Linked DNA regions of Tribolium castaneum. The protein of the gene in region 1 interacts with the protein of each later gene in a biochemical or structural test. Links are inferred from orthologs where the notes say so. Each region holds a gene or a part of one and is shown on either strand. Other genes may lie near its edges.

The links.
Region 2: the proteins of betaCOP (region 1) and deltaCOP form a complex in vitro, tested with the Homo sapiens proteins (2 studies listed by BioGRID). The link is inferred for Tribolium castaneum from reciprocal best matches to the Homo sapiens genes COPB1 and ARCN1.

Annotation. Positions count from the first base shown.
Region 1 is NC_087397.1:6,591,480-6,606,934, forward strand, and holds betaCOP (coatomer subunit beta), read left to right. Parts: upstream 1-9,044; 5' UTR 9,045-9,181; intron 9,182-9,296; 5' UTR 9,297-9,309; coding exon 9,310-9,400; intron 9,401-9,445; coding exon 9,446-10,674; intron 10,675-12,068; coding exon 12,069-12,343; intron 12,344-12,394; coding exon 12,395-13,598; intron 13,599-13,643; coding exon 13,644-13,718; 3' UTR 13,719-13,800; downstream 13,801-15,455. Other genes in the region: uncharacterized protein LOC103315192, read right to left, coding at 71-221, 269-365, 409-572, 620-645; uncharacterized protein LOC664374, read left to right, coding at 4,308-4,413, 4,466-4,602, 7,348-8,076; up (troponin T), read right to left, coding at 14,328-14,539, 14,611-14,689, 14,948-15,028, 15,080-15,172, 15,223-15,441. UniProt on the Homo sapiens protein: The coatomer is a cytosolic protein complex that binds to dilysine motifs and reversibly associates with Golgi non-clathrin-coated vesicles, which further mediate biosynthetic protein transport from the ER, via the Golgi up to the trans Golgi network.
Region 2 is NC_087394.1:32,196,782-32,212,110, reverse strand, and holds deltaCOP (coatomer subunit delta), read right to left. Parts: upstream 7,725-15,329; 5' UTR 7,572-7,724; coding exon 7,569-7,571; intron 7,460-7,568; coding exon 7,420-7,459; intron 7,362-7,419; coding exon 7,138-7,361; intron 7,080-7,137; coding exon 6,900-7,079; intron 5,515-6,899; coding exon 5,303-5,514; intron 5,256-5,302; coding exon 5,094-5,255; intron 5,045-5,093; coding exon 4,834-5,044; intron 4,787-4,833; coding exon 4,572-4,786; intron 4,523-4,571; coding exon 4,318-4,522; intron 4,237-4,317; coding exon 4,147-4,236; 3' UTR 3,980-4,146; downstream 1-3,979. Other genes in the region: heterogeneous nuclear ribonucleoprotein U-like protein 2, read right to left, coding at 36-294, 345-491, 544-734, 1,046-1,187; deubiquitinase DESI2, read left to right, coding at 2,154-2,334, 2,379-2,493, 2,605-2,746, 2,806-2,982; hfw (protein halfway), read left to right, coding at 9,189-9,236, 12,009-12,255, 12,339-12,656, 12,906-13,066, 13,116-13,445, 13,495-13,605, 13,650-13,928. UniProt on the Homo sapiens protein: Component of the coatomer, a cytosolic protein complex that binds to dilysine motifs and reversibly associates with Golgi non-clathrin-coated vesicles, which further mediate biosynthetic protein transport from the ER, via the Golgi up to the trans Golgi network.

The DNA.
Region 1 (15,455 bases):
AGCAAAATCACGCATTAGACACTTGCACACACGCTGCTCGAGATGATCAATGAATGATAAGCAAAAGCACCTTCGCCCGCCTTTTCCTGCATTTGCAATGCCCATGGTTTGGTGAAATGTGAGAGGGGGTGGTACCTACAGGGGTCTCTTTGGGCGCTTCAACGGGCCTTTCCGGGGGTTTCTCCGGCTCGGGCTTGGCTTTGAGGAGGTGCGCAATCGAGCTGAAATTTTTCAAGTGAATGAGCGAACTCGACAAAAGTTAACCCACCTGTGGGCTTCCATGCAATAATACTGAACCAAATACCGGCGAGAGCACTGCGACCGGCAACATTCGTCCACTATTTGCCGCCGAAAACGTCTCCTAGCTGAACAAAAATTACAAAAAACTTTCGACAAAGCGGAACTTACGCAAAGTCGGGTAATTGTAAATAGCGCACAGTTCGGTGAGAGTCTTCACCAATTTTTTCCCGCAGAAGAACTCTTTTCGGTCGATGTTTGCGTGGATCTGGCCGGCGAGGAGCAAGGTGAAGCAGACTTTAAGCCAGAGTTTTGGCACGTTCATTGTAAGCCACCTGGAGGGACAAAATAGAATTTGAAAGGAACCAATATCAATTTATACCCCGGTGGTGTTAAATGTCGCTTCATGTTACCATGGAGTCTACATTTCTTACAAAAAGTACCCTTGAAGTCAAAATTATTAATCTAGGGTCGGCATTGTGTGACTAACAATTGGACCGACGAGTTAAAATTGGATAGTAGGAGTGATTTAGATAGATGCGAGTGTCAGGATTTAATTTTCTTTATTGCAAAAACCTTGACTCATTTAACTACACACATCATAATTAAAATATTTTTAGAGCGCGAAAAAATTGAGATTTTAGCGCTTACCGTGATTGCTCAAAGTTCAGCCAACACTGCCTTCGCGGATAACGCACTGACCATCACTGCAAGAAACCAGCCACTTTTTGCAAGCTGCTACTTCCGAAATTAGGGATGATTTGTGGCCGTTTCAGCAGCCACAAATTTATAAATAGCACAGTCTGGGATGATACAAATTGTGATTAAAAAAATTCAGATATAACATGTTTATCGGCAAGATTTATGAAATCGCTGTTTGTTTAACCTTTGCCTGGATTGACACGGGTTTCGGCTATACCTGCGAATCTTCAGGCACCGAACAATCGACTAATCGCTCTGCGAAATTGAACCGAATTTGTGATACAATTCTTACGCTCGCGACTGATAACGCTGTCGGATGATTTTTTTATTAAAATATTTACTATTATTTTAGGTCACACCGACTCCCCTTTACGCCATAGTTTGATAATAGTGGTGTTGGTCATTTATTATCGCTGCTGATTGCTTGTCTTCCGCATCAGTGATTCTATTATTGCCAGAAGGCCAGACACGGTGATAAAAATGTTCCCTTAATAAAAAATTGTTGCTTGGCAAAAATTGTCAAACTAAGGAGTGATAACGAGTGACCTGCAAAATTTGCAAAAATGTCTCGTCCAGTTGCGATAATTATTTCTGAATGGAGCGATTAGGTTTTTGCCAGGATTTGTATTTTTATCTCGGTTGCATCCGATCAGAAAACAATTTTGTTATTTTCCGATCGATAAATATTGTTTCTAATATTTTATCTCTTTTACTTAATCGAGTCACTGCTGCACTGACCCAGAATTTGAGGCGAAATCCAGAAAAATCACGCTTTCACGCTTAGATGAAATGTCATACCTCTTGATAACAATTCTAGAAATAAATTGAGAAAAATCTAATCTGTTCTTGTGGAGTGACTTAAGATAAACATAAATAAAATCGATTCGGAGGTAAACGAATTAAATTTCACAACGTGATAAGTTTTATTGAGCAAAAAACATTTTTATATCAAAATAATAGGATAAGAGTGGGAGGGTCAATCCGTGGAATTAGTAAACATTCTAATTTTAGCAGTTTTCTTAAAATCCAGCTGAAGTTACGGTGACTGGTTCCAAAGTCTTGTTTCACGCAGTGTTCATGATTCGACCTCAGAAGCGTGATTAAATAGGTGCAAGATTAAGTGATTTATGGGTCTTATAATTATATAACAAATCGTTTTACAAATAACTTCGTTATCGGAATCAATTATACGATATCCGGTTGTTAACGCCACGACTATCTTTGACTCATCCCAAAATAATCACAAGACAATAAATAACATCCTTGATTGCAACTGCAGACAATCGGATTTTTTCGCTAAGCCAACAGGAACCGCTCCTCAATTCTTGTGCCGAGCTTTAAACTTTTATTACCTGCAATAGCTGTTGGAAACCGCGCAGACAAAGCGTCATAACTCATCGTTCTTTTCCTATCGATTTTCTAGTAGTTTACAAACAAGCCGTTATTAATTATGATGACCCTCTTACTTGGATTTGCATAATGAGAGTAAATATCTGGAAGAGCTTAATAGTTTCAAACTTAGTTATTGCCATAATCCATTAACTTATGCAAATTAATTAAGAGTCAATTTTTACCGAGTCACAACTTGAGAAGGTGTCAATCGAAATTAGAGAAAAATTATTGCGTTTTCTATTAATTTTCACTCCTTGAACTTTGAAAGCAAAAATCGCTTTTTGTTCAAAAATAGCCGTTTGGACTGACAAACAAAATTATGTAACGTTGATCGAAGGTTCAATAAAAATAATTTTCTAATAAAGCTGTCAGATACCGATGTCTGTCGGGATCTTAATTTCAAGTCTGAGGACAAAATAAGAGAAACACTGATAAGAGACCGGGTTCGAGAGTCAACAGTTTTAAACGCCCCCAACATTGTTTCACCCTTCTATTGACTATTGGCTAAGCAAATAAGAATCACACAAAGCTTTGATCTCTTTGGGGCTAAATATTTAATTTCGCAGGTATTTACTTTGAAACTTAAGTAACAAAAGCTGTTGAAAACACGAAAGGCACACTTGCGAGTGACAGTTTTTCCTTTGAAATTAAAAATTAATTAGACTGCGTAATTGAACATAATGCCCACACAGCGTGGTGATTTCTCGTAGACTCTGATCTATCTGATTTATCCGAACGAAGCTCGAGCTTTCATCGCTGATCCGAGCGAGGCCACCTACGAAGGATAAATAGAATTAAGCCCATTGGTAATTCGGCGCCCATGAATCCGCTCACGTCCCATTTTTCCAAAATCTCCGTAAACATCGTAATGATTTCAAAGGGAATAAGTGTAAAAGCACTTGTAAATTTCGGTATAAATAGCGAGGAAACGCAAGCGCGTGCTTTATTCGCTTTCAATTCCACTAACCTACATTTGAACAGTTTGGCAAAAGCGCTCGGAGCTTTGGGACGTCGCAATAAATGTCGCAAAATTCGGCCACGTGCTGCGAGGTGGTGTTTTTTCGCTTAAATAGACCTTCACAGGTGCGTGTTTTCCCGCTTATTATTGACGTGACACGTGTGATTGATGTTGCTTTATTATGATTTCCTGCAAGTAAACACTTTTGAATTTCTCTAAGTCGATCAAAGTTGAAATTTTACCGCGAGGTGGTAAACAATCGGCGTCAAAGGGGGACTTTTAATTAAATCCACATCGATGCCAAGTGTCCGATAAATTGCTTTTCGAGCTTTTGTGCATTTGGAATTTTATTTTATTGGTGCAAGCGGAGCAAAACAATGCCAGGATTGCGACACGAGACTCATTTTAATTGATATTAAAGCTTACGTTTTAATCAAGGTTTAACCAGTTTTGCATGTCCTTTGAACTCCAAACAATAACTCGCCATGTAATGAAACTACGCCATAAATTTTGGGCCCCGAAGAGCTTTTTAGTTCGATAATAATTAATTAAAATTTTGTCTTACGTGACGAGCTTTCCGCCAAAAGCTGTCACATCCAGGCGCAACTTTGTGATGAGTCGTCTAAAGTTTCGTCTCCATTTATACTCCGAAATCTATTTTTGATGCAAGTGCATAAAATTTTGAGTAAGCTTTTCGCACTTTTATGCTCGGAATTGTTTTGGATTGAAGGCTGTTAAAGCGGCCCACCTTGGAGCGAGTAAGGACAACAAATAAAACAAAACAGCGACTTTTCAAGAGTTCAAGTGCATTTAAAACTAACTTTGTAGATAAATACCCGCTGCATTATTCATTCCTTGAACTCGTAAATTCGCACTCGGCTCCCGTCTCAATTATTTTTTTTACAATATTGATCCGTCACATTTCTCGGCAAACTTGTCCGAAAGTTTGATTAAAATTTCCGGTTTTTCTTTCTGGCGTTGATGAGGAAAACTTTATCGTTTCAGATGTGAGCGAAAAATGAACGCAACATCTCCGAAGTCCTCACTGGCCAAGCTCGGCCTCTACCCCCGACCGAAAACTTTGAAGGTCATGGTTTTGGGGCAAAGCGGTGTCGGAAAATCAGGTAATTGCCAGAGCGGCTATTTCTGGGTTTGTTTACCAGGCTTCCGTTCTAGCGATGGTTGTGCGATTTATTACCAAAAGATACATAGGCGAGTACGACCCGACTTTGGAAAAAGTTTACGCTTTCCACACAGTGATTGACAACGAGATGGTTTATTTTGATATCCTTGATACGGCAGGACAACCGCACGTAAGCTTTCGCCCTGTTTGCATGTCCGCTGTGCAAATGGCAGTGCAATTTGTTAATTAAGTTTCGAATTAAAGTTAATTACGCCTAGTTTGTCATAATAAAAGTCCGCGTATTTGTTATCGCCTGGAAGTGGTTGCAAGCGACTTTATTAAAATTAGAATGTTTACAATGGCGAGGAATTAGCAGGTGTTACATCATTAAAGCATTTTATTAACTGTTTATAAATATTTCGGACGTTGTAGCCGATTTATGTGAAAATGAATCGATTTTTTGATCAAACACCACTTATGCAAAAATAATTTTTGCATTTATCAAGTAATCATTTAGTGGCATCTTGTTGCCAACAACGCTGTTTCACGATAAAAATTTCGTCATTATTTTACTCCGTGTAAATAACAAGAATTTAATTAATTCGAATTTTATCAGTATAGTTTTATTTTTTAAACAATAGACGTGTGGTTTCGTGATCACGTAATTGTTTTATTAAATGTGTCTCTGAGTGTTTGAAAAAATCAACTTGACGATAATTGTTACAATAAAAAATAAAATTGCTATTTGGGCAATATATCAAGATGTCCGAACCTGATATTAGAGATAAACAACCGTTATAGATTAAGTATCAAGGGATAAGAAGACGAAGTAACGAAGATTTATGAGTGTACTAAAAGGAATTATTGAATTTCAACTCACTCAACGAACAAAAGCAATTATATCCGAACGGCAAACACACCTAGCCTGAGAAAAAAGACAAAATGGGCCGTTAGAAAGCAAACCTTTCTTATAATAAGCTTACACATTTTGAGAGGAAATTTTTGTAACCTTATTAAATTCAATTAAAAATTATTATTTCAAATTATTTGTATTAATAGCCTCACTGGATGGTATAAAGCATTTCCTTAGTAAAATAAGCTTTTATTGAAAAGTAAACAGCTGCCGTCAGTTGTGTGTCACTTAAAAAACTTGAAATATCACTCTTTCCAAGTAAACTGAATTAATTTCTGATTTAAAGCCTTTCATAAGAGGAGTGAGGTTCCAGCAATATGAAAAAGTCCATTGTTGACTTTAAATAGTTAGAAAATTAATCTTTTTTTACGAAAACTGTATAAACTAATCCTCTGATTTACATAAAATTATTTTCAAGAATACAGAATGTTTCCGAAATGAGCTACAATACAAACCTATCCAATTTTTTAAAGAAACATTCTATATTTTTTTGCGATTTTTGAATATAGCTTTCGACACTGCTGTTTTTAAGAGAAATTGTTATTGGTTTTTAAATTAATGTTTGTTTTTGAAATAATTTGATTTTTTAACAAAAAAAATTTTTTTTTAAATATTACATAAAAACTAAAAATCTTAGAAAAGTGTCCTGCTGAATATATTTTTCATGTTTTACTTATTTATTTATTTTATTATATTTATTTATAATTTGTCTGCGATCCTAATGACATACGCTCAACAACTGATACTGATTTAAGTTTGAACTTTTTCCTTTAAAATAGTGAACGTCCTACATTGCTTAGATTTTTTGTTTTTGTGTAATAATTTTTTAAATAAAATGCGTTATCGTCAAAAAAAAACAAATTATTTCAAAAACTAAACAGAATCGACTAATATAAGTATAAATCAAAATTATCAGAATTAAAAGCTGCGTCCAAAAATGCAATAAAATTTAGAGTGCTCTATTAAAAAAAATTACTTCAGCGTCTCTTTAGTTTTGGAACAGTCTGAATACACACCGCAGTCTGAAGCAGTAACGCAGCTATAATAAAAAAAAATAATGAACAAGTTATGGAGCTTTTTTGAATCGTTGTGATATCCTGTATATATATATATATTAAAATATTCTGCAGTTAATTATAATTATGCTGTTGTAGAATGGCTGACGATTTTTTATCTGAAGAATTGTTGCCTGAGAAAAAAGAATCCGAACAGTTAACAGTTACCGTAAAATTAATAATCCTATTACTGTAAATAAAACTCGAGGGTCCTCCACTAGCAACCATTAAATTAAAAAAGAGAAAGCAATTACAATATTAAAATTATTCTATTAAAGAGAAAACTGATAAAAATGTAACTAGCAATAAAAAATAAAGCTTAGCGCTTCCGAAATACTTTCCAAATACTTTTGAATATTATTAAAAGTGGACAAGAAAATAATCCTAGATTATCAAAAATTCCTAATAAAATAAAGACTAGAGCAGTTTCTAATTCAATAGAACGAAGACAATAAGAAACTTGTAAGATCTTCACTTATAACGCATTTACATCAGAAATTGAAGAAACGAAAAATCTTTCAAATGTTTAACTACAGCGTTTTATTGGAGAATTTAAAAATTCTTAGGCTGCAAAAAAAAGAGTAAAAACAATGTTAATTGTTTATCTTAAAGGAAATCTTATTACAAATTGTATAAGAAATACATATTAAGCTGCAATTAAACAACGTCTTTTATTTTCGCCTGCCAGTCGTCTCTAAAATTTTATGAGTCAAGCATTTAGCAGACTTACATTTTTAGAAGCATTTGCTTAGTTTTGTAGGCTTGCCTTTATTAATCATAAGTGTAATATACAATTTTTTTCTACTTCCTATTTTTGTTGTTTGTTTTTTTTTAGTTTAACTTATCAGAATCTGTTCAAATTATTTTTTCTTAATGTTGTTAATTATTCGGGTTTTATCAATAAACGACCTATTTATGCTTATTTTTATTAATACCACCTAGAATTTAATTATGTAAATGTTTGCAGGAGAGCGAATGTTTGGCTCTGGAGGCGAACATCCGCTGGGCTGAAGCCTTCATCCTCATGTATTCAGTGACGGACAAATGCTCTTTTGACGAGTGCTACCGCCTTAAATTTTTGATCAACTACAACAAGCGCCGCCGTCGCCTGGGGGGCACGTCCAAGGACCCCGTCCTCGACGTCCCCGTGGTCCTCGTGGGCAACAAAATCGACCAGATGGAGGACAGAATGGTGACTCTCGAAGAAGGGCAACGCCGTAGCAAAGAAATCGGCTGTGTCTGCTTCCACGAGATTTCAGTCCGCGAAAGCATCGACCAAGTGTGGTCGGTCTTTCGGGACGTTTGCCGCTTTTGGCGCGTTCAAAATAAAAATCCCAAGATGCGGAGAAGTGGAAGTGAGAAGGAACCGATGAGTCCTGACAGCGTTAAGTTGCTTTGTTCGTCGGCGGGGTCTCCCAGCGGACTTATCCCCAGCTGTAGGATGGGGATGTTCAGTCGGCGGTGGACCGAAGTGGAGTTGGAGGAGGAGGATGAGGAGGAGAGCAAGGAGAGCAGTGCGAGCAGTCCGGGAGAGAGTGTTCCCTTTAGGGAGAGGGCCTCCACGGATGGGCACCTGCAGCAGAGGCCCTGGAGGTGGAGGTATCCGCCCATTGGGACGGGAGGGTCGCAGGATCTGAGTGTCAGGGCTGAGAGGAGGATGAGTATTTCGATGAGAGGGAATAATGCCAGTTATTGAAATGATTCAGTTTTGGATAATTTGACTAAGACTGAGATGAGAGTCTTAGAGGAAACACGCTCGTTTTGCAAACGGAGACAATAAAACACGAGTTTGGGACGAAGTTGTACGGCTTTATCAATTAACCAATGACCACATTTGCTGTGATTTCATGTTTCGTCGTAACATAATCAAAAGATGTATATTTAAATATGTATTTATTCTGTATTAATGTTTTATGGATTTTTATCCAGTATTCATTCCATTGTGATGTTTAAGGTGTTATAATAAAAATACAAAAATAAATTGTGTTTTATTTTATTCTCAAGTTTTTTATTACCCATTTTAATCTCAAAATTCTTTATTTATGTGTTTCTGATTAAAATAAATCAATAGTATATTACGTTGTTAGGAGTAAAAGTCATAAAATCTCACACTCACACTTCGAATAACATCCCTATACCTATTTATAACCCGGATCAGATGTGACTTGTTTCATTGAAAAAATTGTACAAAAGGCAAGTGAAACAACACGTAAACAAAAATAAGAGAATAAAAAAACACATAGACGTATAAACATAAAGCGGAGCATAAAACTGACAGAAATAAAAAAATAATGCGGCAAAAGCTAAAAGTACGTAAAGGCGCCAAATTGTAAACGTAATAATAAAAAAATTCAAACATTTTTTCTGTTTTTTTTAACTCCTTATTACTCGCGGACCATCCTGTATAGCCACAAAAATGGTCAGTTTTGTGACTTTTACCGATAAATTAATTATAATAGGTAATACTAAATGTAAAATGGTGGATGCGCCGGGTTAATTATTTATTATTTTAAATAATATTGACGATAATAGTTAGAAATATTGTCGTTAATATATCCAAAGTTATAATCCTCCAAAATCGCTATTAATAAAATGCATGCAAAATCAAGATAAGTAAAATTGTTTTACAACAACAACTCCATAAAGAATTTGTATTACTGGTTACATAACACGCGCGTACAATAGGTTGCTTACCGGTTCTGTCAAGTGTCAAAATAGGTTGACACGTCGTTGACATTTAATTCCAAAATATTAACATTACGTGTTTTGTGTTAAATAAGTGTTTTTTCTCAGTTAAAGTGGTATGAAAAACCTGTTCTCACACGATAATACAGTTTCGCATTTCTTTTCACGTTAACACTTTTGTTGGTATCTTTCTACGCCCTAACCCTAACTCGTGTCCCTTCCCACTTCCAGGTAAATCTCCACAATGACTGCAGTCGAACAGCCCTGTTACACCCTCATAAACGTCCCCACCGACACAGAACCCTACAATGAGATGCAACTTAAGATAGACCTAGGTAGGTAACCCCCAAGCGCTATCCTCTCTTATCGCCCGTTTCTAGAAAAGGGCGACGTCAAACAAAAAGTCGAAGCTTTGAAAAAGACCATTCACATGATCCTGGCCGGCGAGCGCCTGCCCCCGGGCCTCCTCATGACCATAATCCGCTACGTCCTCCCTTTGCAAGACCACACCGCCAAAAAACTACTCCTCATCTTCTGGGAGATCGTCCCTAAGACCTCCCCCGACGGCAAACTCCTCCAGGAAATGATCCTCGTCTGCGACGCCTACCGCAAGGATTTGCAACACCCGAACGAATTTCTCAGGGGCTCAACTTTGCGCTTCTTGTGCAAATTGAAAGAGCCCGAGCTTTTGGAGCCCCTGATGCCCTCGATCCGGGCCTGTCTGGAGCACAGACACTCCTACGTGCGGCGCAATGCCGTCCTTGCGATTTTCACAATTTACCGAAATTTCGAATTTTTGATCCCGGACGCTCCAGAGTTGATTTCGAATTACTTGGACGGGGAGCAAGACATGTCGTGTAAGCGGAACGCTTTCCTCATGCTGCTCCACGCAGATCAGGAGCGCGCCTTGAGCTATTTGGCCTCGTGCTTGGACCAAGTGACCTCCTTCGGGGACATCCTCCAGTTGGTTATTGTCGAATTGATTTACAAAGTTTGCCACAGCAATCCGTCTGAACGGTCCAGGTTCATCCGCTGTATTTACAATTTGCTCAATTCGAGCAGCCCCGCTGTGCGGTATGAGGCTGCGGGGACTTTGGTCACGCTCTCCACAGCCCCCACGGCGATTAAAGCGGCCGCCAGTTGCTACATTGAGCTCATAATCAAGGAAAGCGACAACAATGTCAAGCTCATTGTTTTGGACCGTCTGATCGCTCTCAAAGACCACCCAACTCACGAAAGGGTTCTTCAAGACTTGGTTATGGATATTTTGAGGGTTTTGTCGAGTCCTGATTTGGAGGTGCGCAAAAAGACTCTTAATCTGGCGATGGATTTGGTTTCGTCGCGAAATATCGAAGAAATGGTCTTGGTTTTGAAGAAAGAAGTTGCGAAAACGCACGATGTTGAGCATGAAGATACCGGAAAATATAGACAGTTGCTAGTCCGGACTTTGCATTCTTGTTGTATTCGATTTCCGGATGTTGCAGCAACTGTTATTCCAGTTTTGGTCGAATTCTTATCTGATACAAATGAGCTTGCAGCCGTTGATGTTCTGATCTTCGTCAGAGAGGCGATTCAGAAATTCGATAATTTGCAGCCGCTCATCATTGAGGTAAGAAAATTCTTTGAAAATTTGAAAAATTGGACGTTTGACGTAAGTCAACTCTCGATTAAGAACGGTTGTTTGGGTTATTTCATGGTTATTTGATTAGATTATTTGTAAGATCTCAATTGTCGGTAATCAAACGTTTTGCTATGCATTTCGTTTGATTATTAATTTTGTTTTATTATTATCTGAATGTGTTTAATCATTGGAGCGTCAAATATCGAAAATGACGCACACTTGATTAATGATTACGCATTTATTTCTATATAAACTGCAAGAAATAATCGAATTTAAATTTTTCTTTTCCGTATAATCATTGATTTGAGTTCTGTCGTGACATAAATCAAGTCACAATTTTTTAAAAAAGAAAAAATACGAACAATATTACTAGTGCGTCCATATTTTATGAATGAAAATCATGAAAAGGTCATCTAATTAAAATATCTGGGTCACATTTCGGTCGATTTTTTTTATGAAAGATGATGCTTTCGTCTTACGTCATTTCCAATGCGATGAGTAGAAGCAAAAAAATTATTAATTAACGTAAGTATTAATACGCATTGTGATTGGCCTGTTTGAGAAAACAACCACTTTGGATTTTTGGACTCATTCCAATTTAGAGCAATTGGTGAACTTCGACTTGGTTGATTTACTTATTATAATAAACATGATTTTTTTCTGATATTTAATACGTGTCTCTTATGTACTTCATCACGTTAGGTTTCTGAAAAAATTATTAAATATTGTTATAAAGCTTTATTAAATTTCACTGTATCTGAGCGTTTTATTACTACGAGTAAAAAAGAAAAGTCATATTATATGACATATTCAAACATGTATAAGAAGCTGGTTAAATCAAAAAAGCATTGCTATGCCGAAAAACATTGTTAATAAAAATTATGGCCACTGCGACACAAAATGACAGCAAACAATCGGTATTATTTACTTCACCTTACGCTCATATTCTTGTGAAAAACGCCGAAAAAATGAGAAAACTTTGCTTCCTTATACCTTTTTCCATATTTTTATCTTTGACGGTTTACTTTTAAATTTTAATTGTGAGACCAAAATTTTGTGATATGGTGAAAATTATCCCAGCGACAGTTTGGGGCCAAGATATAATTAATTAAATTAATTTTAATAAATTTAATTATTTAATGAAGAAAGATTTTAGTTTCGTTGCCCTTAGAATGTTAACGCAACGTCTCTTTAAAATTGAACTATTTTGCGTTTCTTGGTTTATGGGAGCAAAAACTATTGGTAAAACAATCCACAATCACGTAATAAGAAACCAATAATTTTAAATTTTAATCATTTATTAACATTATTACAAAAATTTATATATGTGAAAAAAAGATTCAATGATGCCCGAGTGTTTGTCTTAAAAAAATATTTTCCAGAAACTCCTCGAAGCTTTCCCCAACATAAAATCGGTGAAAATCCACCGAGCCGCCCTTTGGATTTTAGGCGAATACGCAACAACTGTGGCCGACATCCAGTCCGTACTTAAAGCCATCAACCAAACCCTAGGCGAGGGCCCCCTTCTGGAAGCGGAGCAACGTCTAGTGGCCGGAGATTCGGAAGAAGTCACCCAACCGAACCCAACACAAGCTTCCAGCACCCTCGTCACTTCTGACGGAACTTACGCCACCCAATCAGCCTTCAACACGGTTCAGTAAGTAGTCATTTGTCGAGAGAAAAGCCCGGTTTGTAAATCAAGCTTTAGGAAAAGCACAAAAGAGAAGCGGCCCCCACTTCGCCAGTATCTAATCGACGGCGATTTCTTTATCGGGGCTGCGATCGCCTCAACTTTGACCAAACTGGCTCTAAGGTACGGCAGTTCGGTTAAAAATGCGGTTGAAAGGAATCGGTTTGATGCCGAAGTTATGATGATCATGGCCGGGATTATTCACTTGGGGAAGTCGGGTTTGCCAACTAAGGCCATGACCAATGATGATAAGGACCACGTTTTATTCTGCTTGCGGGTGCTTTCGGACCGGCAGCCGAGCATTATCAAGGTTTTTACCGACTTGTGCCGACAGGCACTTAACGACATGTTAGTCGCCAAAGAAATTGAAGAAGCACTCAATCAGAAAGCGAAAGAAAAGGCTGGTAATGTCATACAAGCCGACGATCCGATCAATTTTATGCAATTACAAGCCGACAAGTCGGGCGAATTGGGTGAAAACGTCTTCGAAACGTCCTTGTCACAAGCCTTGGTTGGGGGCCGAGTCGGCGGCAGTGACACAAGCACTGGGGTTAACAAGCTGAACAAAGTGACTCAATTGACCGGCTTTTCAGACCCGGTGTATGCCGAAGCCTACGTCCATGTCAACCAGTATGATATTGTTTTGGACGTTTTGATAGTCAACCAGACCAACGATACGTTACAAAACTGCACCCTTGAGTTGGCAACTCTCGGCGATTTGAAACTCGTGGAAAAACCGCAGCCGGTGGTTCTGGCGCCCAAAGACTTCTGCAACATTAAGGCCAACGTGAAAGTGGCCTCGACCGAAAACGGGATTATTTTCGGGAACATAGTTTATGACGTCACGGGAGCAGCGTCCGACCGAAACGTGGTGGTCCTGGACGACATCCATATTGATATTATGGATTACATAGTCCCGGCCACTTGTAGCGACTCGGAGTTCAGGCAAATGTGGGCCGAGTTCGAGTGGGAGAATAAGGTTTCGGTTAATACGACCTTAACCGACCTTGCGGAATATTTGAAGCACTTGATCAAAAGCACCAACATGAAGTGTTTGACTCCGGAGAAGGCCCTGTCAGGGCAGTGCGGTTTCATGGCCGCCAATATGTACGCAAAATCAATCTTTGGAGAGGACGCTCTCGCTAATTTGAGTATTGAAAAACCGTTCAACAAACCTGATGCACCCGTTACTGGACATATCAGGATCAGGGCCAAGAGTCAGGTTGGTAGCACTGAGTGTGAATCACAGCTGAGTTTGTTGTTGCAGGGGATGGCTCTGAGTTTGGGTGACAAGATCAATATGACACAGAAGGGGCAACAGAGTAAAGTTATCGCTGCATAATTTGTATTTTATGGTCGTATTAATATTAATAAAGTTTATTTGAAAAAATGGCTTTGATTACGGAAAACTCGCTTTTTCTGAATCCAAAAAATAGAGTACTTATACCGTCTCAGCGCCAACTCTTTAAATTAATTTAAATTCAACCAATTCTGAGAAAAACTGTATTATTCTAAAATAAAGTCACTGTGAGAAAAACTAATGACTGAAATTTTCATAAGAAACGTGAGAAAAAAAAGAACATTTTCGCTTCGTGCCGTATTTTTCAAAACGCTACAAAATATTGGCAAAGTGCAAATTGGTAGAAGTTTTTTTTTTTAAATATAAATAACGATAAATTTTGCGTTATGTTTAATGCTTTATCATTTATAAAATTCATTGCTCAGAAAACAGACGATAATGAACGACTGCGCTCTCTGGCGGCACTAAGGAAACTATCAAGGACGGGACCGTTTTATTTGAACGTGGTTTCGTATCCTAACCTTTAGACCTCCGTAGTTTTGATGTAACGATATTTATTTGATTATAAATACAGTTTATTATTGGAAACGAAAATAAAATAAGATAAAAAGTACATCATGGACGTCGGGACAAAACGATGTTCTCGCTTGCTTATTCTTCTTCTTCCTCCTCGTCGTCCTCTTCCTCTTCTTCTACCTCAACCTCCTCTTCCTCTTCCTCCTCTTCTGGCTCGGGCTCGAACACCGGCTCCTTGATGTCTTCATCATCATCGGCGGCGTGTTTGCCCTCTTCTTCGCCCTCAGGGGTCTCAGGATCGCCCTTCTTCTTGCCGGGCCTTTCACCGAACCATTTGGGAAGTTTGGCTAAAATACAACGTTTCAGAACCCGCCCTTGCCCACATTGGCACAAATAAGCAACCAGCAGCAACTCTTACATTTTTGCCTCGAATCGAATTGCCCAATTTTGTCTTTCCAGAGTTTTTCATTGGTTTCCTTGGTAATTTCTTCGTAACCCTGTTAAAACGTAAAACGCACACTCAGACATGGCACAGTACAGTTTTGTGATTAGAAAAAGGACACGAGACAAGTGATTAATAGCAAAATGGGCACAACACAACGGATATGCCCACTTACTTCTCGACCGACTTTCGAACTCGCCCACTTTCTCTTTCCAAACTTTTTCCAAAAGTTCCATGTTTAGGTGGTCAAAGCCCTAACAGAAACGGTCACAACGCAATCATCGGTCCTTTTTTTGACTTTTGTAATACTTACACCCTCAAACAGTTTCTTCTTGTCGTCGTACGATCTGGTGTCGACACGACGCTCATATTTGGACGCTACTTGGATCTTAGGCTACAAAACACAAAATTACAAACACTTAACACAAGAATTAATAACACGTACGGGGTATTTGCCGGTGAGAGCCTCGGGGTCCAAGCCCTTCTTCAAGGCCTTGTGCCTGAGTTGCTGCTTTTGTCTCTCTTTCAATTCTTTAAGCTGTAAAATTACGTTATCCCACTGTGCCAATATTATGTTTGCGGGCTTACATCGTAATCCTGGCGTTTCTGCCTTTCTTCCAAGTCATATTTCTCAGTTTCGAGCTTAACGATGCAGTCCCACAACTCCTGGGCCTTTTCCCGGAGCTTGTCCACGCTGAGGTTGTCAAGCACCAAGGGCTTGATGCGAATGGATAAGGAAATTTTCTTCTCTTCTTCCAGCTGCTCCTTGGTCTTGTTTCTCTCAAGCTGCGCCGCGCTCAAGTTGGACTAGAACCTTGTCA
Region 2 (15,329 bases), on another chromosome or scaffold:
AATTACATTTCATGTACTACATAATTGTTACTTACACCAGCTAAGCTGAACTTTGTCCTTATCTATAGGAGGCTCGTCTTCTTTAATTGGCGATTTACTTCGTCGGCGTTGAGATCTGTCCGGAGATGGACTACTACGTCTTCGCTTTTCGCCCTTGGCTTCACCGTCTTTATTTTCGCTGACTGGTGCTTCAGTGCTTTCAGCTTGGTTGTTCTCAACCTCCTCCTTTGGCGGAGCTTCAGAACCGTCGGTTTCAGAACCACCCCAGCGTGATTTCCGCGACTTGGGTTCATCCTAACAGTGTAAATAATTTAGTGATGAAAATTGCGATATTCCACAATTACCTGTTCCCCGTTTTCCTTATTCTCTTCTAAATTGGAATTAAGTTCTTTTGGTTCAGACTGTTCAGAAGGTTCGGTTTCTTCTGGTTTAGGTGCTTCAACTTCAGGTGCAGGTTGTTGTACGGGTTCTGCAGGAGGCGCTTCTTGTGTCTAAAACGACAAGCATTGAACGATAATTTTACGAGCGGTGTAAACCACTTACATCCATTTTTTCTTCTGTTGTGGCTTCTGGTTGCTCCACTGGTGGTTGTTCTTTTGGTGGTAGTGGACAGGCTTCGGTTTTTTCAGGTTCCTTATCAGGTACTTTCGATTCTTCGGTAACGGAATCATTTTTAGTTTGCGAAGTATCCAAATCTTCCGTCGACGTATCAGCAATTGAAGTATCTGGTAACTCTGTTGTGAGAAAACACAAGTTAAATTTCCCGCCAAAATCTACTTCATGTCTTATCTGCTTCACAGCAAAGATATTGTTTTGAAACTGTTAAAATCTGGTGATTTTGACTATTTACAATGATTAGTGTTTTAACTATCGCTAACATCTCGTAATATAATAGATAATTAAACTGTACACAAATGTGGCAAGTCTACTACCCATCTTAAAAACATTAAAACAAACAGAGTGATAAACAGTGGTTTTAAACCACTCAGTGAGCGCGTTTACCAGCTGTGGGGCCCTAGTTGTGCGGAACAGCCCCAGAACTAACCTTGTTTGAGTTCTTCCTCCAAGGCTTCTTTCAAGCGCTTGACTAACGCCGGTTTGTTTCCTTTTGAATCCAAACCACGCTTTGAGAGTTCTGCACGTAATTCTACCACTTTTAACTTGGCAGGGTCCAGTGTTGAACTCATTTTTCTACTAGATTTTCAGCAGTTCACAGTAAAAATCTAAACACAAAATATTAACACACACACGCAGAAAGCACGCGCTAGTTTTGCAAATGGCGGACGTGATGCGTTGGTTCGGCAACGCATGCGTACGCTTTCTCCGACTTTCCCGCCATTTACATTTGAATTTAGAAAAAAAGAAAAGAATAAATCAAAATTTTGGTTTCTTATCATAAGTAACTCATTCAGAATTTAACTTGTGGCACCCATGCCCACCTATCTTAACGTGCTTACTTTCACATACATCCTCTTTGAACTACTTTTTGCCAAAAAAGGCCTAAAAGTAATAAAATAAGTTTTATAATAAAACTCCGCGTAAATGCAGTGTGGGTAAAAGTTATCAACAAGTGTGGCAAAATCAATTAACCTACTGAAAGTTTAAACAAAAATTTTTATTAAACGTTGTTGGCAGACAGGAACACTAACTTGTGATATGTTTTATCAATCTATCACATTTCTAATCAATTATCTACAATTTTTATCGAATTAATAATTTTAATTAATAAACTCAACCATGTGTATTGTGTGTTGCATAACAATCATTTTTTATTTATCATTATTTAATCATTTTTTTATTTTTTGATAACACCATATAATCCAACATCCTAGTTGTATTTTTTGTAACCGATTTAAGTGCCGTTACAACCGTTCGCCAGCATTACTCACCACTTTTTGCCGCGCTTCCGGTAGATAAATGTCAAACGTCAGAGTTGTCAAAATATAACCTGCTTTGTGCATTAATTTCGTGTAATATTTTCGTTATAACAGAACATTCTTCCCTTCTCGTTGCATTGATGCGTTATGAACTAAAAACTTTATTGGTAGTGTGTTTTGAACCTCTTCCCCCCATTCTACAAAAGATCAAACTCAGGGTATGTGCACCATATTTAATACTGGGGGCCCCTTAAAACAGGAAATTGTCGCTTCAGAATGTTTTCTAATGGCCTAACTTGCAACCTTCCGTTCAGTTGTATGAGTGTGACTCGAGACTCGGGCTCTGATGAACTTCTTCCCAACAGAATGGCTCGTGAACCTGTCTTGCTGAACGTCTATGATATGTACAAGATCAACGAGTATACTTCTAACATAGGCCTTGGCGTGTTCCACTCTGGTAATTTACCAATAATGTTTTCTCGCTGCTTACAATTATTGTAGGAGTGGAGGTTTACGGGACTGAATATGCGTATGGGGGGCACCAGTACCCCTTCACTGGCATATTTGAAATTAATCCCAGGGATGAGCGGGATTTAGGAGATCAGTTCAGATTTAGGTAATCTTAATTAAACATTGCCAGTGTTGGCATAAAAATATATTGCTGACGTTATCAGTTAATGTAAACGGAGTAATGAACCTTTGAGTGATGGACTGAAAACCTTTTCAGGCAAACCATCCACATTGGCTACACCGATTTCACGGAGGAAGAAGTCAAAAGAATAAAAAACGAACTCGGAAAGGAATTTCGCGGGGATCGCTACCACCTAATGAATAATAACTGTAATCACTTCTCTGGGGCTTTCACCAAGGTTGGAGAACTTTTATCTTTGAAAATATTTATTTGACGTCATTGCATCCCTTGTTTTAGATTCTTTGTGGTCAAGATATACCGCCGTGGGTGAACAGACTAGCATACTTTAGTAGTTGGGTGCCATTTTTGGAGCGCTGTTTACCCAAAGAATGGCTAATGCCAATGGCCTTGCAACATTCGTTAAACCATAGGAAAGACTCAACTTGTTCAGAATCATCAACGTCACCCTATTAACCCTTGCCAAATCTGTAGGGACGTTAAATAATGAAGTGGTAAACATGTATTATAAGAAAATAATTTTATCTGTTTAAAGTAATCATCTGTATTTAACTTTTAACCCGTTTTGCAATTATTTATTGTATTGTTTCGTGGTGGCCGTGGAGATTGCCCTATTCATTGTTTTGCATTTGTCTTTTAACGAAACAAGCCAAAGAAATCGTGAACATTGTAAATAATTTTTAATTTACACCGTGCTTTCAATTTAATTCGTGATTAAAGTGGCCTATGACTTTGAAATTAACTAAATTTCAAATTCACAGTTCACAGAAGTAAATAGGAAATTACTCGTTAAATATTTCGACATTGCTCTTGGAAAAATTTAAACCAATTTTAAGACAAAAGTTGAGAATTGGCCTTGGTTTTGCGTGTTACGAGAACACCACTTTTTCAAGAGAAATGCCGATAATAATTGTGCAGTGACCTGTAATATATTTTTGGTTGATTCCCTAGGTCACTTGTGTAAGATACTTTAGAACTAGTTCTAGGACAGTTGAAAATGATAGACGAAGTACAAATGTGTCGTACATTTTTCAGAGTGACAATTTTTCTTGCAGTTGCGACCGTAAATTTGCGTTGAATCACTTTAAGCGTAAAAATTGTGTTCATAAATTGTAAATAAAAGAGACATGTTGACACAAATTAATTTATTTTGTTCACTGAAGTTGAATAGGGGACCTTCTGTGTTGTCCAAGAATATAAGACTGTGTTTGTCAATGTTTATATTTCTACAACAGTACAAACGATTCATGAAATAGATTTTCGCACCAAAAAAAACAGTAACCTGTGATGCAACGGATTATTTGGCTCAAAAGGTATTAGAAAATCTGCCAAAATAAATGCACTTTGCTTTTGATTTTTCTGTGTAGTTCATAATTGATTTGTGATTAACTATTATTTAATAAAATTTTATTCAAGCAAGTCTTTTTTTATTTGGCGGGAATGAAACAACGGGTTATAAATATACTCCTGACTTATTTTATTTATATAATAGATAAAAATTAAAACAAACTTCTTAAAATTTTGTACAAAAAGCAAGAACGAATAAAATATTAGTAGTATTTATACAAGTGAATTTTATTATTATATAATTTCATTAACTATCGTAACCTACTGTGACACTTACACTATCTCATATTTGTCGGGAAACAAGCTAGTTTCAACAGAATACTTAACAGGAGAATCATCGTCCACCATTAATACATCAAGAATCTGAAACGAGAAAACGTCTTTAAAACCACGACCTATTACTAACGCACTCGCCGTGCTGGTGACGTAAACAGGAAAACTCACCTTAATATTTGCGTAAGCAGATTTCGAACTAAAAGAAACTGTCACCGGGAAAAAGTCGTTAGGAATAGATCGGGGCGCACTAAATTCCAACGATCCAGTTTTATTGCTTGAATCTATAATAGGTAGATTCCATATTAGCTGGTTACGTCTTGACTCATGCGTGTATGAGCCATCACATTCGCCCACAACCGGGTTACAACCCATCCTAAAATAATACATCAATAAAATACTGGGATCACATTTTATGAACGTACGGTAACGGAATCAAAATATTGACATCAGCCAGCTCTAAATTCGGATCGGCAAGTTCGTACTCGATATTGATGTCGCAACTGCCATCGCCCACTTCCGACGGCCAACAGTTGATCAAGAGAGGCACTAAACTCTCATCTGTGCTTTGCAATCGCCATTTCAGGACACCGACGTCTGTGTGCAACGGGAATGGTTTGGATGGTTGTTTGAGCCCAATCTAAATTAACGAAATTAATCAACAATAATTTTTTGGTTTGTTTGTACTTGGGAACGCAGTTTGAAAAGTTCCTTGTCTACATTGGGGTGAGTTTGGAGCTGGATGCCACGCGTGTCTTTATTTTCCAACTGGACACGAATTCGCCCCCACTTTTCGTCCCCAATGTGCAGTGTCACCAACCCCAACAACTCGAATTGTTGCACACCGCCGTCACGGCCCATTCGAACGATTAGTTTTTCCTCCAGTCTCAAGTGAACACTGGAAATAATTCAAGTCACTTTCTACTCTATTCTGTTTATTTTCTTACTCATTAATATCGGACTTGATCGCTGGTGTTTTCATTCCCCCTTGTGAAATACTGTTATTAACTGGTGCAATGACATTTTCGCCTTCGGATTTAAGCTGGTCTACGAAAGACTCAACGTCGTGGCCTTTGCCACCCAGTTTCATTCCTCGAGTCGAAGGTTTCCTATTAAATCAATTTAAAAAAAAATTTTTTGGATGTTTTTAACATACTGAGGAGCGGAGGAATAAGCTGGTGGTTTGATATCGTTTGAAATATTGGCAACATCGCCGACTGAAGGGGCTGGAGTATAACCAGATGAGCTACCAAAGCCTCCACTGCTACCAAATGATGGTTTGACGCCCTTTTTGTTGGCTTCCATTCGCTGGCGTTGCAATTCTTTAGCTTTCTCACGCATTTTGTTTTTAGCTTCGCGTTCTTGTGTCTAAAGAGGAGTCAGTTCGTAAATCAGAAATTACATTGGTTTCGAATCTATACAAACAGCATGCCTTAATTCAATTATAGGAAAGGGCTCTAAAAGAAATATTATGCTTTCTATCAAATGTTAGATGTCTCATGTCTTCTGTTTCTATTTTATTCGCCCTAAGACCTCCGTGAGGAGGTTTAAAAGTGCAGAAATATCGGAAATGGCTTTCTATGCCCAAGCTAAACATTCTGTCTGAATAAGATGTTTTTCCTTTCGTGAAACTTTAAATCTTGAATTTATTGTAAATAAAAGCAATTTAAAAATTTAATAACGCTTGTCTTTAAGTTTTCATAGTTTTTAAACCAGTGGATAAATAAGTGGGTCGTAAAAAATTCAAAAACTACACATACAAAAAAATAAACATTTTCTTTAATCACACTGCTAGTAGTTTTTCCAAAAAGTAAATAGTTTAAGCAAAAAAAAACACGTTAGATTTCATTCTCTTTATTCACCTGGTAGGTATATCAACAAGTTATACAAACAATAGCATAGTCTCTTTATGTTGATGTGAAACGGAATATTATTATGGTATTATAAGAACTCTAGATTTTACAGCAATTCTTTTTATGTTCATTATACCATTATTAATTTTCAACATAAAATCCATCAGGGTAACAAAAAAAAATAGTGAGACAGGTATTAGCGATGAATTCGTTCACTTAAACGTTAGAACAGCTGATCAGTGATCACTTACCAAATTAACTGTTAAATTAACTTTTAACAGCAAATTAATTTTTATTTCACCTTCTACTGGGTCACTATGAAATAATGTGTCGAAAAATTTATTATATCTGATTTTATACCTCAAATAAAAATTTAAAATTGGGAGGAATTTTACTTAACATCTTAAAAAATTTATTGGCAATACTGAGTTATTTGCTTTATTACCAAAATTACTTTAAGAGCTGTGACTAACACAAAATCTTTGAAAACTTGTCATTTTGTTTATTTCTTTCAAACCGCTTTCATTTAAGACAGAATCCAAAATCTTACCGGGAAATATACTGAGTTACATGGTTAAAAATTAAAAGTCAGTATTGCCATCTGAAATTACAACTTCTTGGCTTTAATAATTTTTAACCAAAAAATTCCCTTTTTTTGTCACTGATGACAGAATCCAAAACCTTAACCAGAAATATACTTCAGTTACATTGTTTAAAATTAGAATTCAGTATTGCCAACTGGAATTACGACTTTTTGGCATTACAATTTCTAGAACTGTTGTTAATTTATTTTCTGTGAGGCAATCTAATCATGAAATAGCAAATTTGAAATAATAGCCGTGTCCGTTGTTGTACAAACTTTGATAATAAATGATTTTACCAGTTTAGCAATTTTATTACCTGTCTGACGGCCTGATAGACCCGCTCTTCGTGTGAATCCATCTCGACAAATGTGCGAATTTGGCTCAAATTGACGCTTTCCCTGTACCCAAGAGCAACAATCTCATCAAACGCAAAAATGAGGGAAAATGCGTTTTCCGCAATTTCATTTTCTTCCAATGAGCGGCAATATTCGGGAATCTAAAATAATGACAATGTGAGGATGTTTTTGTGGCTTCCATGGGTCTGGACAGCTTACCACTTTCGCAAACAACCTCAGAGTTTCTAAATCTTCCAAAATGTTGCTAGCTCTTGTGGTAATCAGGAGCATGTAAAGGCGCTCAAGTGGCTGATATACATATCGGACCGAGTCGGTCTCTACAAAGGTGTGTTGTGTTCCTGTTGGGATAAGTTTGGGGAAAGCCGCCAGGAGACCCTCAATGCGGGCTTTGGTCATCTCAACAAACTGCCGAGAGACTATGGCTGGAAAGGCAGAGAAAGGTTGCAACACATGGTTCGGTGGTTTATGTGGGGTACTTACTTTTACCGGCCTTAGTGCAGACCGCCGCTGCTATGAGCACCTGAAATCATATGTTATAACGTGAGAAAATGCGTAAAATGGCAACTTGGAAATTTTAAATTGGAATTGTGAAAGGTTGGATTTGTGTGGTGTGTGAAAGATTATCTCACCATTTTAGAGACTGTGAAAGGTCTGTTGCTGTTATGTTCCTAAAAACTAAAATAATATTTTACAAAACATTACACCCTATTAATTTTTTAAGATGACGTTGACTTGTGCTTGCTGTTGAATGAGAAAAACAGTGACGTGACCGTATTCAGTCAGCCAACCTTACGCCGATTCACTGCACCAGCTCTAGGCGCAAAATTCGAAAATGCTCCAGTTTCTACTCATAAGTTACTTAAAATCAAACTAAATAAGTCAATAACTGCTCTATTTTTATATTTTTTGTTGCTTCAGCTATTTAGTAATTTGTTCCTACTAAAATATAGCAATACAGGAATGTGAAAAAAAGCAAAAAAAAACGTAATTATTTTAGAAATAAACCAGATAATAAATTGTATCTAACTAAAAAAAAATATTTTCGGTTTTTTATTATCCACTATGGCCTAAGAATATTTCAGCAAACTAAATTGTCTTAATAGATTATAGTAAATTATGATATTGTAAAGATATGTATCTGAACAAATTGATTGAATATCAAAAAAAAATTGCGGCCTAGAATTACAAGTTATTTTTATTTCTAAGGTGGGTGGTTTGGGTTATTTGAGTATTAAGTATAGCTAGTGCAATAAAAATGATTAAATAAAATATCGTGATTAAATTGCAAGTATTTTGAAAATTTAAATTTTTTTTAATATCAAACATTCCAAAATTTTTATCTTGGCTACCAGATCACGAAAATATAGGCCAGAGTTATTTTTTATTACATTCTGATTAATAAGTAAAAAATTTTAACCATTCTTTGTCTATCATAAAGTCATAAGATAAGGCTATGAAAAAAACATAGTATTTTCCTGTATGCTACTGCAAATGTTAATTAAAGATAGAAAACAATACAAAAATGCCACAGTAAAGTGTCAAATTTCAAAAATTTAAGATTAGAATAATATTAACGTGTGTTAGTCTGACTTTTGTGCGATATATTATATTATTTTCTCATTTTTTAAAGGTAATCAATGGTAATCAAAAAAATTGTAAATGTGAGAAAAATAAACAACAATAATTTTTTATTAACACAATAATTTGTCGGATATTGTTATTCATTCGTTTACTTAATTTTTTACACTTTAGGTACGAGTATTAGCAAGAAGCTTTTAATTACTTTAAGCTGATATAATCAACAAATATAATCAGCCAGCACGATTAACTGTTATTTATTATCTACCTGTAAACCATTATTAATAGTGCGTTTGGTAAATATCTCAAACTAAATAATTACTTTACTTTATTACTCTTCTTTCGATTGGCTCTTGAATTTTCCTTCAGTTTGCACATCTTGTTGAGCAATTATTTGCTGGCATTTTTCTGACGCAAGTGTGTTTCAGTTCGATATTTTCCAATACCCCGATTAGTTTGAAAATTATCGTTTAGGTGGTTACAGTGTATTCAAAAATTTGTACATAGACTGCACTGAAAACTGTAAATCCATCATAGGAATGTGTTAAAATTGATGATTAGGTACTGAGTTTGAAGCATTTTTTATTTCATGAATAAAACATTGGTGGTAGAGGATTTATAATTTGTTTGTCTCATCAAGAAATCAATATGTTTGTCAATTGACATGAATAATGTGCAGTCACAAGCTCACAAGACTACTGTTACTACACATCAGTTTAGTGAGTGTTTTTTTTTTAATCATACTTTACTTTAATAATCAACAAATGTTCCTTTTTTTGTATAAGTGATTTAAGCAACAGAACAATAGAATAGATAAAAGTGTAAAATAATCAATACAAAAATAAGGGTAGGAGTGAAAGGACTGAAAATGGGTGGTTCTAAATTTTGAAAAATAATCTACCAGCAATATAGAGCGAGTATTGGTGGTCATATAAGCGTGTTCTAAAAGTAGAGTGTGAGGAAATATTCAAAATATTTGATTTTCCTTGAATGGGGTCTTTTGAAATGGAGTAATGGAAGTTTGTTTGAGGTGTGGGCAGCGAGTTTCATTGATCCAATTACTGAATAAAGTTTAATTAACAATAATAATTGGGAGTAAAGAGTGGAGAACAAATAGATGGCGCCTTGATATCAACATTAGTAGTTTACTATATTTATCTGTTATTATGTTCATTTTATGTTCACGTTTCCGTGTGCCTCATCAAGGCCGTACCAAGGCCATAGCAAAAGCTATAGTAGTGTGTTATGTTTAGGTTAATTCTGTTAAAAACATCTCGTCCCATAGTGTCTTTGTGTAACTTTGTAGTAAAGGCTTAAAACAGTTCTATGGCCAAAGAATAATGTGTACCGTTGATTGTGTTCCTCTACCTGAGTGAAAAGGTATGTTTCATTGCATCTTCCTCTCTGACACTTAAGTACTATATGGCTAAGTACTAAGTGCTCTTACTATTGTTTACAAGTTGCCTATATCCTGTATCAAAGCAAATTGCTTTTTCCTGTGGAAGCAATTGACACATTTTAATGTGTTCAAAATTAGATTTGTATGTGCACCCAATCTAAATATAAATTTCTGTTGATAAATTAAAATTACGACGTAATAATTGCAAACCTATGCATGTATTTTTATCGTCATTCCGCAACGTGTGTTTCTTGCATTGTTTTCACTGACTGTTATAGCGATATTTAATTGATTTATGTGATTGTTATGAAATAATTTTGTCCGCAACAATGTTAATAAAATTGTATGTGAATGTAATGTTAATTCTAGTGTTATAACTAATATTTTTTATTGATGTGTGGACTTATAATTAACGTAAGTGAATTAATAATAATAATTACAGTACTTATATTTATTAAAAAAGTAGAAATAATATCCCAGTTGACCGTAAAATCTTAAAAATTATGCGCACCTACGTCGCATGTTCTTTGGCCATTAAAGACAGCTCCTTGTAATTTATCACAATCAATAAATGGTGTAATTCGTACTACTTGTTGCTTGTAAGCAACAAGAATATTTATCAAAATATTCACCTGTTGAGAATGCGATACTAGTGGTTATCACTGCGGGAATTTCCAAAAAGTGTGAGTTCGAATCCCGATCGGCTCAATTTTTTTTTACATATTTGATACAGTATGTTGTCTAGTATTTTAATTTAGGTGTTTTATTAAGATTCACACCCACGTATAATTGGGTAAACTATATTTAAGATCCATATTTGAGTAGTTTGAAGAGTTGTTTTATTCTATCTTTACTACTCGTATAATAAATATTTATAAGCATCATAATAACAAACAATTAGTACAATGAGCTCTAAAAAAAACTACCATAAAAGATAGTAACGGACAATAGAGATGTAACCGTAAAAATCGTATTAAATTAACAGTACTCGTAATTACTATGTACATAGTATTTTCAAATTTGCTTTTTGCAAAAATGTGAGTTAGGTAGGAATTTTACATCCAAGCCTTTTATTAGATCGCATTTCTTTTATCAACAACGATTAACTTCAGTAATAAAGTTGAAGAACATTTACTACATATCTTGCACAATAAAAATTATCTGTAGATTGTTAATCCTTTTTACTTTCGTGTCTGCAACGAAATACTAGAACCAAAGTTGTGTTGGTGGTTTTGGAAGCCCAGTTATTTTGTTTTTTGTCAAATTTTTGCTTTAGCAATAATTAAATGACCTATGGGAAAGACTGTTCTCTCCGTCAGTCTTAAAAGAATTAATAGAAATTTCAATTAGGTGTCATTGATGTGTTAAATCTACCCCGAATATGTTTTCCTAGCACTTCATAATTTATTAATTAATTGCTCAGAACCACGAAGTATTTTTTTTAAAGCAGATTGAGAAATTTAATTTATTCGTTTTTTCGTATAGCAACAATTTCTAAAGTAATATCTTCACGCATTATGATTACTGATTATGCACAAAGAAGTGTTTTTATCTAATCTAATGTTTCTAATTTTATTTTGTTTTTAGGATTATATTAAAATATGTTTAAAGATACATTAATATGAAAATGTTAAGAGATAAGAGACATTATAATATTACATAATAATGCTCTAAAAACATTTGTGTGGCACTACATAGGACATATGCAATAATTAATTGTTACATACAGTACGTTAATTTAAATTTAGTTTAAAAAATCTGCTGTGTTTTTTTGTTCAATCTGCTATGTTCTAAAAGTATAGTTTTTTATTTATTCTGATATGAGCAATAAAAGGAAAAAGCTCATTTCAACCCACAAAGTTTTGTGGTTTGGAAAATTGAATTGTGTTTGCGAAAAATAAAGGAGTGGACTTTATTTTTTAATGTTCAGATGAGCAAGTAACCAGTTGACCTCGGTGACGGCCGTGGAATTTGTCAAATCAAATAATTGGGAGGTATCGCGTAAACAATTATAATAATAATCTTGGATAATCTATAATAATCTTGAAGTTTCAAGTTTCTTTTTTAAGGTAACATCTAAAAATTGTTGTAGATGTGGAAGACACTAAGCATTTTGCTGCTCTGTCTTCTGCTCGAACCCTCATGGAGTCGCTTAGCCGAAGACATCACCTACTCATCCCTGGACAACTGCGTAACCGACCACTGTTTCCATCAACCAGCAGAGGCATGCCCTAGCCCTGACAGCAAGTGCCGTTGTCGCAAACTCCCATACTGCAAAAGTGCGGCCGTTTGCTGCAACGTTAATAAATTCCAACTAACGGAAGGCTTGGCATGCGCAAGTAATTATTTTAATTTATCACTCCTATAAACAATGTTACAAAATTTATTATTAATAAATTATTGTTATTATTAACAATAACAGACATCAGTGGCAACGGTCATGTGGAGTCGCTGCACATACGGAACGCCAGTCTGGACATCCTAAACGTGGAGGACTGGAGGAAACTCAAATATCTGAGATACATGACCATAACAGACGGCCAAATAAACAGCGTAGTCGGGGAATTCGCCAAACACACCATAGTCTCCTGTTTGAATTTATCCTCAAACGGGATCGTCAATTTTGAAAATAGATCTCTGGTCAATTTGTACAATCTGAGCTTCTTGGATCTTTCACACAACAATTTATCGGACGTCCCTCGGTTCAAAAAAGATGGGAATATAACTCTAGACATATCAGGTACTTGGAAACAGAAACGTCATTAAGTTAATCTGCAATTAAGTGCGTGATTAACTGATCACGTGACCAAATTGAGCAAATATGATTGGTCCAATTGCGTTGTTGACTTAACAACGAATTAAATTTTAACAAAGCTTTCTATAAACCGGCCCTTAGAATAGGAAAATAGAACTAGAAATTGCTTAAATTTAATTATAGTTAGTTATAGTGCCTTTCAAATTATTATTCTTTTAAACTATTCATTTGCAGCTAATCAGCACATGTTATGCTCAAACCTATTCGACGCTTTAAAGCGCACCGAACTCCACTTCAGCAACATAAACAATTCCTTTTGTCTATTTGCCCGAACCTTTCACTGGTTCAATACGACTGAAACTGTCCCTCTTACACAAGTGATTGGAACACATAAGGTAGTACAATCAGCAGGATTTCGAGCTGAATTGTAATTTCTTCTTTTAGTTGCGTAAAGATTGCCGCAAAAATTGCACTTGTGAGCCCTCAAGACTGGACCTAGTGTCAGGAAAACAAGCAACGATTGCAGTGGCTGTTAACTGCTCCGGACAGAGCTGGACATCACTGCCTTCACCTCTGCCACCCAACACTATAGCTCTGAACGTTTCGAATAATAACATAACTTCGCTGGAACTGTTCAGTACCGACTCCTCCTACCAGAATATTAGGGAGCTGTATGCTGATAATAACCAGATTACGTCCATTCTCCCGCTGGAGGGGTCGCAGTTTTTGAGCAGTTTCGCAGTCCTGAGTCTTAGAAACAACAAGTTGAAATCGGTAAATTTGTAAATTGTTTCAGTCATGAGCTGGGATTGTTTTCTTTCAGCTCCCAACTTACATATTCTCGAACATACTGGACCGGAATAATTACGTCCGGTACGTTTTTCTCGGTCTGAACAGACTCCAGTGTGATTGTAACACGGCCAAAGTTTTGAAGGTACTTTAATTTTGTTTGAGTCAGCAATTTTAGTTTAATTGTAGGTGTGGCTGTTGACGAAGCAGAAAAACATCCCCGATTTCGAAGAAATCTACTGTGATAACATGGATATGAAAGTGATAGATTTGAACCCTTCCAAGCTCTGTCAGACGCAACAAGACTGGACTGACTACATCTACTACATCATCACCATAGAGGTGGTGCTTCTCGTGGGTCTGATTGCCAAAGTCGTTTACGATTACTGTGTTTTTAAAACCTCCGGTTATTTGCCGTGGCCGGCGAGCAAAATGCCAAAGTTACCATGCGATTGGTTATGTGAATAGTTTTATTTTAGTCGCAACGATGTGCCTGTTAATGCTTCCGCCTTGTATCATGGTTGTGAAATGTTTACTGTAGTAGGGATTAGTGTAGGAAGTTTTGTGCTCTCAATCAAGTTTGAAACGAAAAGTCTGACACACCAACAGTCATATTAGTTTTCTAGACTCAAATCTAATACGAAAAGACAGTACAATTGCGGAAATTTAAATAAATTCGCGAATTTATTTTAAATTTTCTATCTTATTTACAAATTATGAACTATGGCTTTATATGTCTTTTACTGTAAACTATTTTTCTTCATTAGGTTTATGCAACTTTAGCTCCGTATGTGTTTTTATTTATTGTCTTCTTTTGAAAACACTGTTTTTAACATCACTTTCAGAATATTAATCCTCTAATATGTTATTCCCTTTTATTTGCTTATGCAAATATTTTCCTAATAATGTGCAATTGTATATATTTCATTTTTTACATTATCTACGGTATGTCTTTATTTGTGCAACTCTTCCCTTTATATTTTTGTTGTTTAATTGCTCAATTTATAGTAGTTGTTTGTGTTTTTTGTTTTGATATTTATTTTATTTATTTTTTTCCAAATTGTGGTAAAAGACAATATATCAAGTATACCAATTGATTTACAATAATTCCGGTGTGTATTTACTATTTGTTGTAAAATACATGAACCGCCTAAGTATGGGTAGCAACAAAATGAACTCTGTAATCATTAATACTTTTTGGAATGTAATTTAATTGTGTTTACTGTAAGCACGTCCAAATATTTAATTGTAGTCGTTTTACAGTTTTTATACTATTAAGTAATACTCATCCAAGGACAAAATCAAAAATCGTCTACGAATTATCAAAACGTGTCACAGCTTTTTAGTTTTTACAAATGTATGGTCAAAAATTGTTTGAAATCTCTTTACCCAAAATTTTTATTTTATTTAGCATATTTTACTTACTTTAAGTACAATATCTTGTTTGCTAATGTATAGATAAATATTGTTTCTTTTGTAATATTGTTTCGTATAATAAAGTGTCTTATCAAACTCTTTTTTTTAATTCCTTACCTAATTGATGGAACAAAATATTTATTTCTAGGTTTTTATTAGTTTTTACTCGAATATAAAACTAATAATTATGAGGCATAATCTTTAAATGACGTCATTTTATTTACATACTTATTTCCAAGGGAAAAAGAACAAAATGAAACATGCGGCAATAAAATTAACAAAAGTACACACTTGAGTAACAAAACGAAATGTTTGAAGTCCATTTATGTACCAATTCTTCATGCTGAATAAAAATTATAATCCTTTTACTCTTTATTCATACCTTGGATAAAATAGTTTATTATAAAGAATCAAACAATGTTGACACAAAAAAACTTGAGATAAACGTTTTTG